Linked DNA regions of Caenorhabditis elegans. The protein of the gene in region 1 interacts with the protein of each later gene in a pairwise test. Each region holds a gene or a part of one and is shown in the gene's direction. Other genes may lie near its edges. The genes, in order: npl-4.1 and F19B6.1.

What was found.
Region 2: the proteins of npl-4.1 (region 1) and F19B6.1 interact in a two-hybrid assay, tested with the Caenorhabditis elegans proteins (one large-scale study listed by BioGRID).

The regions. Positions count from the first base shown.
Region 1 is NC_003280.10:5,629,212-5,633,840, forward strand, and holds npl-4.1 (Nuclear protein localization protein 4 homolog 1), read left to right. Parts: upstream 1-2,139; 5' UTR 2,140-2,147; coding exon 2,148-2,291; intron 2,292-2,342; coding exon 2,343-2,708; intron 2,709-2,770; coding exon 2,771-2,962; intron 2,963-3,009; coding exon 3,010-3,742; intron 3,743-3,832; coding exon 3,833-3,987; 3' UTR 3,988-4,073; downstream 4,074-4,629. Other genes in the region: F59E12.6 (ubiquitinyl hydrolase 1), read right to left, coding at 138-233. UniProt on the Caenorhabditis elegans protein: In association with ufd-1 and ATPase cdc-48.1 and/or cdc-48.2, involved in the cytoplasmic elimination of misfolded proteins exported from the ER.
Region 2 is NC_003282.8:12,330,779-12,337,928, reverse strand, and holds F19B6.1 (Uridine kinase), read left to right. Parts: upstream 1-1,887; coding exon 1,888-1,928; intron 1,929-3,328; coding exon 3,329-3,432; intron 3,433-3,827; coding exon 3,828-3,973; intron 3,974-4,023; coding exon 4,024-4,377; intron 4,378-4,642; coding exon 4,643-4,840; intron 4,841-4,889; coding exon 4,890-5,272; intron 5,273-5,822; coding exon 5,823-6,171; intron 6,172-6,213; coding exon 6,214-6,348; downstream 6,349-7,150. Other genes in the region: wht-5 (ABC transporter domain-containing protein), read right to left, coding at 1-31, 81-208, 259-283; F19B6.10 (uncharacterized protein), read right to left, coding at 563-736; ufd-1 (Ubiquitin fusion degradation protein 1 homolog), read left to right, coding at 7,055-7,132.

The DNA.
Region 1 (4,629 bases):
AAAATAATATAGAAAAACGGTCTCTTAATTTCAAAAAAACTAAATCAAATAATGTGATAGACTCTCTCAATTGAAATAGATAAAATTGAGAGAGACCGTGGCTATTACATTTGTAAATTAATTTTCTTAAACTCTACTTCTATCTCCAGTGAGCCATACTCGTGAATTGATCGCATTGAATTCTTCTCTTCAATATCACCTTGTCCAATAATTACATCGTCTCGTGAGCACATCTTCTATTAAACAAAATTAGCACTAGGCTAGTTCTCTTCTAAAGTGAGAAATGAGAAGAAATGTGAGTTGTAGAGACGTGTATAATAAAATCCATAAAAATTAAAAATATTGTGAGTTCTTCTGAGATTACGTGAAGGCCGAATAAGAGGTGACGGTGATAATCACAAGAATTTAAAAATAATTTTTCCATAGAACGAATATATAATTGCGTAAATGGTCGTGGTTGCTCAGAATCTCGAGAGACTGTGGCAAATTGTCGAAGTTTTGGCATTTTGCCAAAATTTGGTAAATTGCCAAATCATCGAAAATGTATATTTTCAAAGTGATTTCGAGCAGTTTTGGAAACTTTTACTATAATATTTGAGCACTTGAGAAACCGATTTCAACTATTTCCATACCGTGGAAAAATTATGTTTTAAGTTTTGGCATTCTGCCAAAGTTTTGACATTTTGCCAAAATTTGGTAAATTGCCAATTAGTTCAAGGTGTGTACTTTTAAAGTGATTTTGAACAGTTTTGGAAACTATTACTGTGATATTTTAGCACTTTAGGAACTGATTTTAACTATTTCAATACTGTATAATAATTCTTTCGACAACATTCTCATCGGGCCACATGCGATCACGGAAGAATCTGAAATTAAAAGATAAATAGAAAACAATTTGAGATTATTAAATATTACCTCTCGGTGAGATCTGGAAAAGCTTGATCGTAGAGAGTCAAAATTTCCGGCACATTTTGTTCGTCAACCATGCGGGAAAAGTAGACCAGGTAGTCGGCGACCTCATTTGGAACTCCATCCTCATCGGCTGAAGCTGTTAAAAATTAAGAAATGAGATAAGTTTGTGTTGTTAACAAGCACCTAAATAACTACCATAAATATGTTTATAGAATTACTCTATTGATTGATTATCAATTTTTCTTTTGAAAAGATTTCACAATGCACGATCATTGATCCTCTGATACTCAACTTCTCTCTCGGGCTTTTAAATGATTAACTTCTTATGAACTCTTATGAACACCTTTTCATTTATTATTTCTTTCAAATGAATAAAGCTGTGATTCATTTAATCTGAGATTTGAGGATATTCGACACCGAAAAACACTGAAAATGACAAAAGTAGTCATTTTCATATACAATGAGGGAGTTCTGAGAATTGGCATTGATTCTTCACTGTAACAGTATTTGGAAAATTTGGTTTTTCTGAATTTTATGTATTTTGCTCATGGAATGTTAATCTGCAGTTTTTATGCAAAATTATTTCAGACCAAATTCTCCAAATGTCTGTTTGCCGAATTAAAATAAATCGGTTAATCAAAAAAGGACCGAGTCTTCAGTCTTTTCGAACTGTTTCAAATTTTAACATTTTTCAACTCATTTTACTCTTATTCATCAATTCTGAAAAATAGCATTCTGTGAACTTACAAGAAAAGGTGTTGGTGCGACGACGATCAGAGTGATCTTCAGTGGATAAATCGAATTCCACGCGTCGAGACATTACTGAAAGAAGGTTTTTATATTGATATTATTTAAATGTCAAACTAAATTCGAAAAGGTACGCTAAAATTAAGAGAAAACATTTTTTTAATTGTAAAATTTGATGAAAGGAATTGGAAAATGTGATGGAAAAAAGAAAATTGCAAGCGTTGCATGGGATTTCGCAAGAGTGCCGCACGGTTTTTTGTGTACGCATTTGCTCGTCATTCATGTTGTCTAGGCAGTTTTGATGACATTTTTTATTCTAAAAACAAAATGTTTTATTTCATTTGCTGTTTAATGTTTGAATATGTATGGAAACTAATTTGATACCCTTTCCGCTGCATTATTTTTGCAAAATCTCAAAATTATATATCTTCAATTCACTACCTAGAAGGCATATCTTCCTGCATTTAAAAATCTATTTTATTTCAGATATGGTACTTGAAGTCCCTCAAACTGAGCGTGTCAACGACGTTGATGTTTTTTTAAGCACGCAAGATGGTCAAATTCAGCGTCCAAAAGGGCCCAACTGTCGGCATCCTGTACGTCAAAAGTGCACTAATTGTTTGCCTGTTGATGTAAGTGATATTTTCTGTTGTTTTCATAGAAACTAATATCAATATTTACAGCCATTCGATGAAGAATATTTGAAAGAAAAAGATATCAAGCATATGAGCTTCCATGCACATGTTCGCAAGCTCCTTGGATCCCAGGGGAAGGGCACGACTCTCAAAAAACCGCTGGAAAACTTTCGATGTTCATTAAAACCCAACTGTGATGCTCACAAGCCGTTCCCGAAAGGAATTTGCACTAAATGCAAACCACAGGTTGTAACATTGAATCGTCAAAAGTTTCGTCATGTTGATAACATTCAAATTGAAAATCAAGAGCTTGTAAATCAGTTTTTGGATTATTGGAGACTATCGGGCCATCAGCGTGTTGGATTTTTAATTGGACAGTATCAGCCTCACCTTGAAGTTCCACTAGGAATCAAGGTAAGTTCAGTACTTCATCACTCATTTCTTGAGACGAGTTATTTCATTGCTCATACTTTCAGGCTACAGTGGCTGCAATTTATGAACCTCCACAACACTGCCGTGAAGATGGAATTGAGTTTTTGGAGGATAAAAATCAAAAAACTATTGACAATTTGCTGGAAATGCTTGGCTTGCAACGTGTTGGATGGATCTTCACAGATTGTTGGACAGCTAATAGTGCTGAAGGAACTGTACATTATACACGGCACAAGGTGAGAACAATCTCGAAGAGAAGCCCAAAAAACGAATAATTTTTCAGGATTCCTTCTTCCTATCAGCTGAGGAATGCATCACCGCAGCAATGCTTCAAAATCAACATCCAAACATCACAGAGTACTCGATGGATCGTCACTATGGATCCAAATTTGTGACCGTTGTTGCATCTGGTGATGAATCGATGCATGTTAATTTCCACGGATATCAAGTTTCAAATCAATGTGCGGCCATGGTTGAAGCTGATATTCTCTGTCCAACACTGTACACTCCTGAATTGGCTTATGTTCGAGAGACACCATTATCCGAAGAACATTATATAACTGATGTTCAATTTTCGATGAAAAATGAATACGGAGCCGAGGTTATGAAAAACGGACGACCACTTCCAGTTGAATATTTGCTGGTGGATGTTCCTGCTGGAATGCCAAAAGAGCCTCACTACACGTTCCACGTTGGCACATCTAATAAATCGAAGAGTGCCAAATTTAATGTTGAAAATCGACAAGCAATTGGACAACTTCAAGGAGGTGCAAATTTGATTCAATATTCATCCGAATTCTCTAAAAATCAATTTTTGGAACAGGCTACAAACTTCCACTTTTTGCTCTATTTAGTAACCAATGACCAAGTGCAGATTTCTGATGAATGGATGAAACGATTGTGTGATGCAGTTAAAGCTCAGGACAGAGGAACTGCAATGGAATGGGCTCAGGAATGTGAAGATTGGCATCAGTTGATGGCTTTAGCGCATGCTAATGGAGGAAGCGGCAATGACGGTAAGCTATTATTTTAGTGTGATTAACAACAATTTTGAAAATGATTGCTTCTCCGATTTTACAAAGAATATTTTAATCGATTTCTCATAGTTTCAGATATTCCTGTCATTCCAAATGGTGATCCTTTCTCCGGATCAAGCAGTGGTGGATCAGGAGGAGCTGTGTGGAACTGTGGACACTGTACATTCCAAAATGAAGCAGCAAGACAGGATTGCTCGATGTGTGGATTGCCAGCTGCCGATTAAAAATTCATTTTTCTGCTTTTCTACTAGTGTATTTCTACTGGTATGCTCTGTAAAGTCACCCACAAATGAATTCTTTTCTCCATATTTTTCATGAAGACAAATTAAGAATTAATTCTAAAACAAAAGCAAAGCTTCAGGAGAAATTGAAAAAACGTTAAATACAATTTATGAAATGTTTTCCATTCGTAGAAAGCTATCCATTTTCCATTTTCAATCTTTTTGAATTATCCAGTCTCGTTCGAAGTGCGCATTCAAAATTGTGACGTCTGGCCAACTCACCAGAGATCAGAAAGTATGATTTTGTTTCAAACTTTGAAGTTTTGTATTCTTTATTTTTAAAAACAAAATTTCAAAAGACAAATCTGAACAATTTTTTCTAGAAAGTTGAATTCATTAAAAGTGCAAAGAACAGAGTGGGCGTGGCCAAACGAGACTCCGAATTCCGCTTAGCAGTTTGCAGTGTGATTTCAGTTTCGATCGAAGTTTTGCAGCTTTTTATTCTGAAAATGGATTTTTCTTAAATAAGTGAATTAGTAAATCCAAATTATCCGAAAAATAACGATATTTGTATTCGAACAATATAAGAATTCGAACAAACGATAGTGCTATAGTTTTTTTTTCAAAAATGGTAAAAACTCGGTA
Region 2 (7,150 bases), on another chromosome or scaffold:
TCTCCACTTGTTCAATTTCAGACGCTACTGGCTGAAAAATTATCGAAGATTCCAGGTGTAAAAGTCTGTAAGGTTCATACCGTATCATTGATAAGAACCGGGATCGGAGTTGGCTTCGGAGTTGGAGATCGTGACTTTTGAGTGGGGTCCACATCCAGCGAGGTAATTAGACCCTCGTCTTCCACATTTTTAGGTTTTAGCAAAGGTTCTGAAAGGTTCGTTTCATATCGTAGAGTTAAGAAAACTTGAAAATCTTACCAGCTTCTTCGCTTTTGCTATCCATTTTTTCGATTTTCCGCTAGAATTAATATCGAAAACCGATTGCTTAATGAGGCACTCGTTGAGAAATAAATCAATTTTCAATGATTTCCCCCTCCTTTGACATTAGAACAAATAAAAAATAGGGGTTTAGGTTTTCAGAATGTCACGTTAAAAAGAAAAATTCTCAAAAAAGCTTTATTTCAAATTTAAATATCATCACTAAAAAATATTCATACAGGTTATAATATTCATAGGGTATACAGTAGGTTTGTAGGCAAGCATGAGGTAGGCATATAAACCTTCATGCTGTAGGTGTGTAAGCAGGAATGTGGTAGTCACAAAGGTAGGCATGCAGTAGGTACCTAGACCGGTAAGAAAAAGGCATGAAGTAGGCAGGCTTGAAATACACGAGGTCTAACATCTTCGGCAACCGGCAACCATAACCTTCACTCATTGATCCATATACCATCCCCATATCCAATTCGTATTACCAATTGTGATCTATGAAATCTTGACGTGGTGTGTGTCTAATAAGCTTTGAAACTTGAACACAGAAGAAGCAAAAAAAAGTTTTTGTGTTGATGAAAGATTGTTTGTCTTGCCGCGTTGTTTATCAGCTGATTTTCAGGTGGAAACTGAGTTTCATAACATCATTTCTCTTTCTCATCAGCGGAACTTGGTTACGTATATAGTTAAGTGTCATGTAATCATGGCGCCAATGATTTCATAAGTCAATTTTTAAATAACGATTCTATTGCTATTCCTTGGGTTACTGTAGAAGTCTTGGGTGATTAATTTATTGAAAGGTTACGGGAAAAAACATGAAACATTTCCTTTCAATTAAACTTGTGACATACATATTTATGTATTGAATTTAAAAATATTATTGTAAATATACACTAACAGGCTTGACTGATAAAAAAAATGCTGAATTTAAGTGAAAATTGTGCCCGATAACATTACGATATTCTGTATATTTCAATATGATAATCTTATTTTTTAAAACTAAAATTGATATTTAAATGTAGAAAAATATTTGTTTCCTTTCAAAATATTATTTATTTTTTATTGATAACTTTAAAAAAGACCTCAACTAGTGTCGGAAAGTTGTCGTTTGCAGTTAAAAGTGCCGTTAAACGTCGGCCATCTTTTTCAAAACTTTGACAAAAATAAATATTATTTCCAGATGGAACACATTTTTTTCTGCATTCATATATAACCTTTTCTTCAAAAAAGTTAGATTATCATATTTTTAAAAAAGTTTTTGAGTTGTCCGACAGTGATTTTCCCCCGGTAATCTACTGTTTGTTCCTATTTTTATCACAACTTTCTTGCATTCTCTTATTTTCTCTCACCTTTGTTCCGTTATTTTGTCATCCGATCATCTCTTTTTTCTGCAATGTAGAGGTTTTTGCCCACTGTCGGCACAAATATTGTTTGCTTTTGAAAAGTGCACGTTGCGATTTATTTAGGTGCAGGACACTGGGATCAAAATAATTGGTTGACTATTTTTTTGCATCATTCAATTTTAGAATTCTTTCGAAATTCTTATTTTGCCCTAAAACTTTAATTTATAAATATATTTTTACGTTTTTTCAGAAATTCTAGGCCTGCTTTTAAAGGAACATGTCTAAACGAAGGAGTCGGGTATTGCAGCGAACAACGAGGTACGGTCAAAATTTATTCCTTCGATGTTTTTTTTTAAATAAAAATTCCTTTCTCTTTTAATTTTTCTTGCTGTAAATCCCTTTTTATTTAGTTTTTTCAGCTGCAAAATATATTTGTGTGGTGTGGCGAGTTGAAAATGGAAAAATATTAATATGTCTTTTGAATTCCTGCTCTCTATTGAAAAACTGCAAAATTCATTCCGAGGGCGGGAACTTCCCGTTCGACGTGTTCACTTTTTTGTCAGTGCAGTTATCAAAGTTCTCTGCCCTCACCAAGGGGGAAAAATTGCGAATTTCGAAAAAAGTTCGCTCATTGACTCTTCCTATCGGTCATTCATAGATCATCTGATCGACAGGGGCACAGACACATCCTCCGTGCCATGGCTCTCTTTTCTCAAAGCGTCTCCGTTTCTTTAACTTTGAGGATCCGCCGCGTCGTTTTTTCGTGCACTTTCTATATTTTGATCGGCCACCAACCACCGTCTGCGTCTCCTAAGACTTTTCTTCCACTACGCCTCAGCTAGCAGCTTTACCCCGTTTTTCTTTGTCGGTCCATCGTCTCTTGCCTGTGTCCCTTCTCGTGTCGCGTGCCCCCAACGAACCGAATTTTTCAACAAAGACCATCAGATATATATCAAAACACTCGTTGTGACTGTCCCTCCGGTACGACAGGCACAAGGCCATTTTTGACTGATCTTCGCGCATTTTTCCCATTTTTTCTCGCCTTTCATTTGATAAGTTCAATGTCTTCTATGGTTCACTATTCAAAAAAAAAATCACTTTTTCACAAAATTTAATTTTTAATCCACCTGGAATTTATGTTGTCATCAAACAGAAACAACAAGTTTATTTCATGATTAATTTATTTTAATTAATGATGAAGAAATTTTTGCAACAGTTTTTATCAGAGCAGATCTAAATTGTTTGTTCAAATGCTCAACATTGGCCTAAAATAATTTTTTTTATTAATACTGAACAATATTCTCACTGCACTTCCAGCCGAAAAAAAGTCGAGCTGGAACATTTAAATCTAGATTCACCGATTGCTTCTTATCACTTGAAACTTTCGCGCGCAATTTTTCAAACAAGACTCCGCAAACACTGCGACGGAACATTGCACCACTCTCTGGAGTTAGAAGCTTTTCCTAAAATTTACAATGTCTTCGAATAGTTTCCTGTTTTTCTTCTTATTTGACAAACTTCTGTACCGATTGATCATTCGAAGATCAACAAATCGATTATCATTCAACCTATATTGACTTGGCCTAAATTATTTGTCACTAATAATCATCGTCACATTTTTTCTTTACCCGGAACCTTACATAAACAGTAGTCTGCCCTCGCAGTAATCTCATCACCTTGTTTACCTTGAAATTCCTTACATTCTATGTTATTTTCAGGATGGTCGCAGAAAAGCGTGATGCTAATGTGGCTGCTTCGAAAGGGGATGCCAACCGAAAAAGCGTGAAGATCGAGGACTGTCCCACGTATAGTCATTCCTCAGGTGAGGGAAGACTGTATCACGTAACATTTGTTCAAATATTGTGTGTCATCCGGTGGTGGAGTTCACTACGTGTTGACTTCATTTCACTCAATATAATCCCCCATTCTTTGTAATTGCGTCTGACACTTTTTAGAGACAATTCTCTTTCAACTGATAGTGCTTGTTGATAAAATAGACATTTCCCTTTACAAAAAATTTGAGGATATCAACTGGTTCTGCCCCTGTCAAAGGCTCCCGGCGGCGCAAAGATTGATGAATGACTGTTTTTTCAAGATGCTTATCTTGTAAACTATCGAGACTAAATCGGGTGGAGAGAGTGAGAAAAAGAGGGGCGCAACAACTACTAGACACAATTTCTAGTTTCTACCGTTCCTAATCGTTTTATTAACGCACAGGTTCGTCTGTCAACGAGATGGTCAACCAAAGTGGTGGAGATTCTGAGGATTCGACTTCACCAAGAGCCGCTGGATGTCGTACGAGAAGACGAACGATGAGTGGAGGACGTGCTGAACATCATCTTCTTACCACTAAGACCGGCAAGGTAAGGTTTCTAATTCCACTTAAAAATAAAACGAATTTTCGATTTTTTAGAAAATATATACGAAAGGACGTCCACCATGGTATGACAAGAAGGGAAAGTCACTGAAACATCCGTTCGTAATTGGAGTTTGTGGAGGATCTGCCAGTGGGAAAACTACTGTCGCCGAGAAAATCGTCGAACGACTCGGAATACCATGGGTCACGATTCTTTCAATGGACAGCTTTTATAAAGTTCTGACGCCGGAAGAAATCAAAGCAGCACATGAATCAAGATATAATTTTGATGGGCCAAATGCTTTTGACTTTGATTTGCTCTACGAAGTTTTGAAACGACTTCGTGAGGGAAAGAGTGTTGATGTTCCGGTTTATGATTTTAATACTCATTCAAGAGATCCGAATTCGAAGGTTTGCTATAATTATAATTATTATTTCGTAATTTCACAGGATTCTGTTTTTCATTCAGATGGGTCTCAGCACTTCCTCGTTCGATTTCCTTTCATTTTTCAATTAACTTACTTCATTTTTAGCGAGTTTGCCGAATTCTTCAAATTTTATGTAAAAATTGTTACAAATATCCTTTTTTTTTGTTCCGAAAAAATGGGAATCTTGTGAAATTACTAGCAATTTCGGAAAAAAACTGCAGATGGAATTATTTTATTTTGCTTTTCAGATGATGTATGGAGCTGACGTTTTGATTTTCGAAGGAATCCTCGCGTTCCATGATGAGCGTATCAAGAATTTAATGGACATGAAAGTGTTCGTCGACACGGATGGAGATCTTCGTCTAGCTCGTCGTATCGTTCGGGATGTCACTGATCGTGGGCGTGACATCGACGGCATCATGGAGCAGTACTTTACATTTGTAAAAGTAAGAGAATTGTTGTAACTCGTCGTCTCAAGTAACTTTCGAGTTGCAGCCGGCGTTCGACAAATACATTGCACCATGCATGGATTCGGCTGATCTCATCGTTCCGCGCGGTGGAGAGAACGACGTCGCCATCGACATGATCGTGCAGAACGTGATGGCACAGCTCGTTGAACGCGGATACGATCGCAATCAGAACAACCGTGATCGTCACGATTTGGTTCGCGACGATCTACCGGATTGTTTGCCGGAAAACCTGTTCATTTTAAAAGAAACTCCACAGGTCAAAGGTCTTGTCACGTTTGTTCGTGATCGAGAAACGAGTAGAGACAATCATATTTTCTATTCTGATCGATTAATGCGTATTCTTATTGAAGAATGCATGAATCATATGCCTTACAAAGATGTTGAGATTGAGATGGCCGGCGGTAGAAAGTGAGTAAATTTGAAACTGAAAAATGGTCACTGCAAGATTTGAAAATTCCTTTTTGAAATCTGAAATCAGCGCCAACCTTTCTGAAATTTCTGAATCTGACTGCAAAAATACGGTACCCGGTCTCGACACGACAAATGTTTGTTAAACAAAAGTGTGCGCCTTGAAATAGTACTGTAGTTTCAATTTCTTATCACTGCGGATTTTTTGTTTTATTTTAAGTTTTGTTTATGGTTTCAATCAAGTTTTTTAATACAGAAATAATTTTTATAGAAAAACTACAAAGAATCAATAAAAATTCTGCAGTAATTTAAAATTACAGTAATCTTTAAAGGCGCTCTTTCAGCAAAAAATCTGTCGAATCGAGACCGGCTACCGTATTTTCGGCTTAAGAATTGCAAAGTTTCAGATCTTGGTTTCGGATATTCGGATATTAATGTTCTATTGTTTCCAATATAAGAATAAACTTTTTCTAAATAAAACTTGAAAACTAAACAATTGAAAACGTCTAAAATAGGCTCAACCATCTAGAAACTTTAATTTTTATTTCAGAACTATTGGCAAACGAAAGGACGCTCAGATTTGTGGTCTTCCAATCATGCGAGCCGGCGAATGTATGGAGACTGCTCTTCGCTCAATCGTCAAGGACTGCGTGATCGGAAAAATTTTGATTCAAACCAACGAGACGACGTTTGATCCAGAACTTCATTATATACGTTTGCCACCACACATAACTCGATACAAAGTTATCATTATGGACGCCACCGTAACTACTGGGAGTGCTGCGATGATGGCAATTCGTGTACTTCTTGATCATGATGTTAAAGAGGAAGACATATTTGTTGCATCTCTGCTTATGGGTCAACAAGGTGCACATGCACTGGCTTATGCCTTCCCGAAGGTTTACAATTTTTTATTTGAATTAAAAATTATTAATTTTCAGGTTAAATTAATCACCACCGCAATGGACCACCAAATGACGGAAAATTGCTATCTGATTCCCGGAATGGGCAATTTTGGTGATCGATATTACGGAACCGGGCTCGAACAAGACATGGACGAGCCATTCGATATGTGATCATCTGTTATCACAAAAATGATCAATTTTCTTCATAATTTATCAAAGTTTCTGTTTTCCTTCCATTTCATCTGATGAATTCCTACTTTCTTGTTCCTTTTCACTAACTTTATTATTATAATTATAATTATTCATAATGTTCTTTCTTTCCCATCATCATATCCATCCTTCTATACATTTTGTTTCCATTTGTTGTTGAAATTTTATATGCTATTTCATTTTTTGTCGTCCTTTTTTTCCGTTCTTCATTTTATTGACTTCTCTTCATGATTTCTGGCATTCAGCTCGATAATTCATTTATACCCTGTTCTTTCTAGTGTTTTTTCGCGTTGTTTGTGACGGTTAAATTCTTCCCTCTACATCTTTGCGCGTTTCCACACAAAAATCTGTACACGACATTCGGTTTTCTCGTTGTTCCATTTCTTTTTTGTTCAACGGAGCGCGTTTGTCGTTGCAGGAATCGGTTTTAATATCATCATCCATTCACGCATTCTCTTTTTCATGTTGTTCATTGTGTTTTTCTTCAATTTTTGTCAAGTTTCCTTCACACGTGCATTTTAGTAATTTCTTTCTATAATAAATTGCAGTTTGTTAAATATTTAAATGATCAATGAGCTCTCTTTTCTTGGTTGGCTCATCCTCTTTGTATTTTTTGAATTATAGTTGAAGAAAACGTTAATAACTTTTCAGAAAACCAAAAATAAAAATGCAAGCGTGGATACAACAAGGACTTCACGGGATGCAGATGGGCGGCCGAGTCGGGAATTATGATCAAACTTTTGTGGTGAGCTTTTAAAATTCA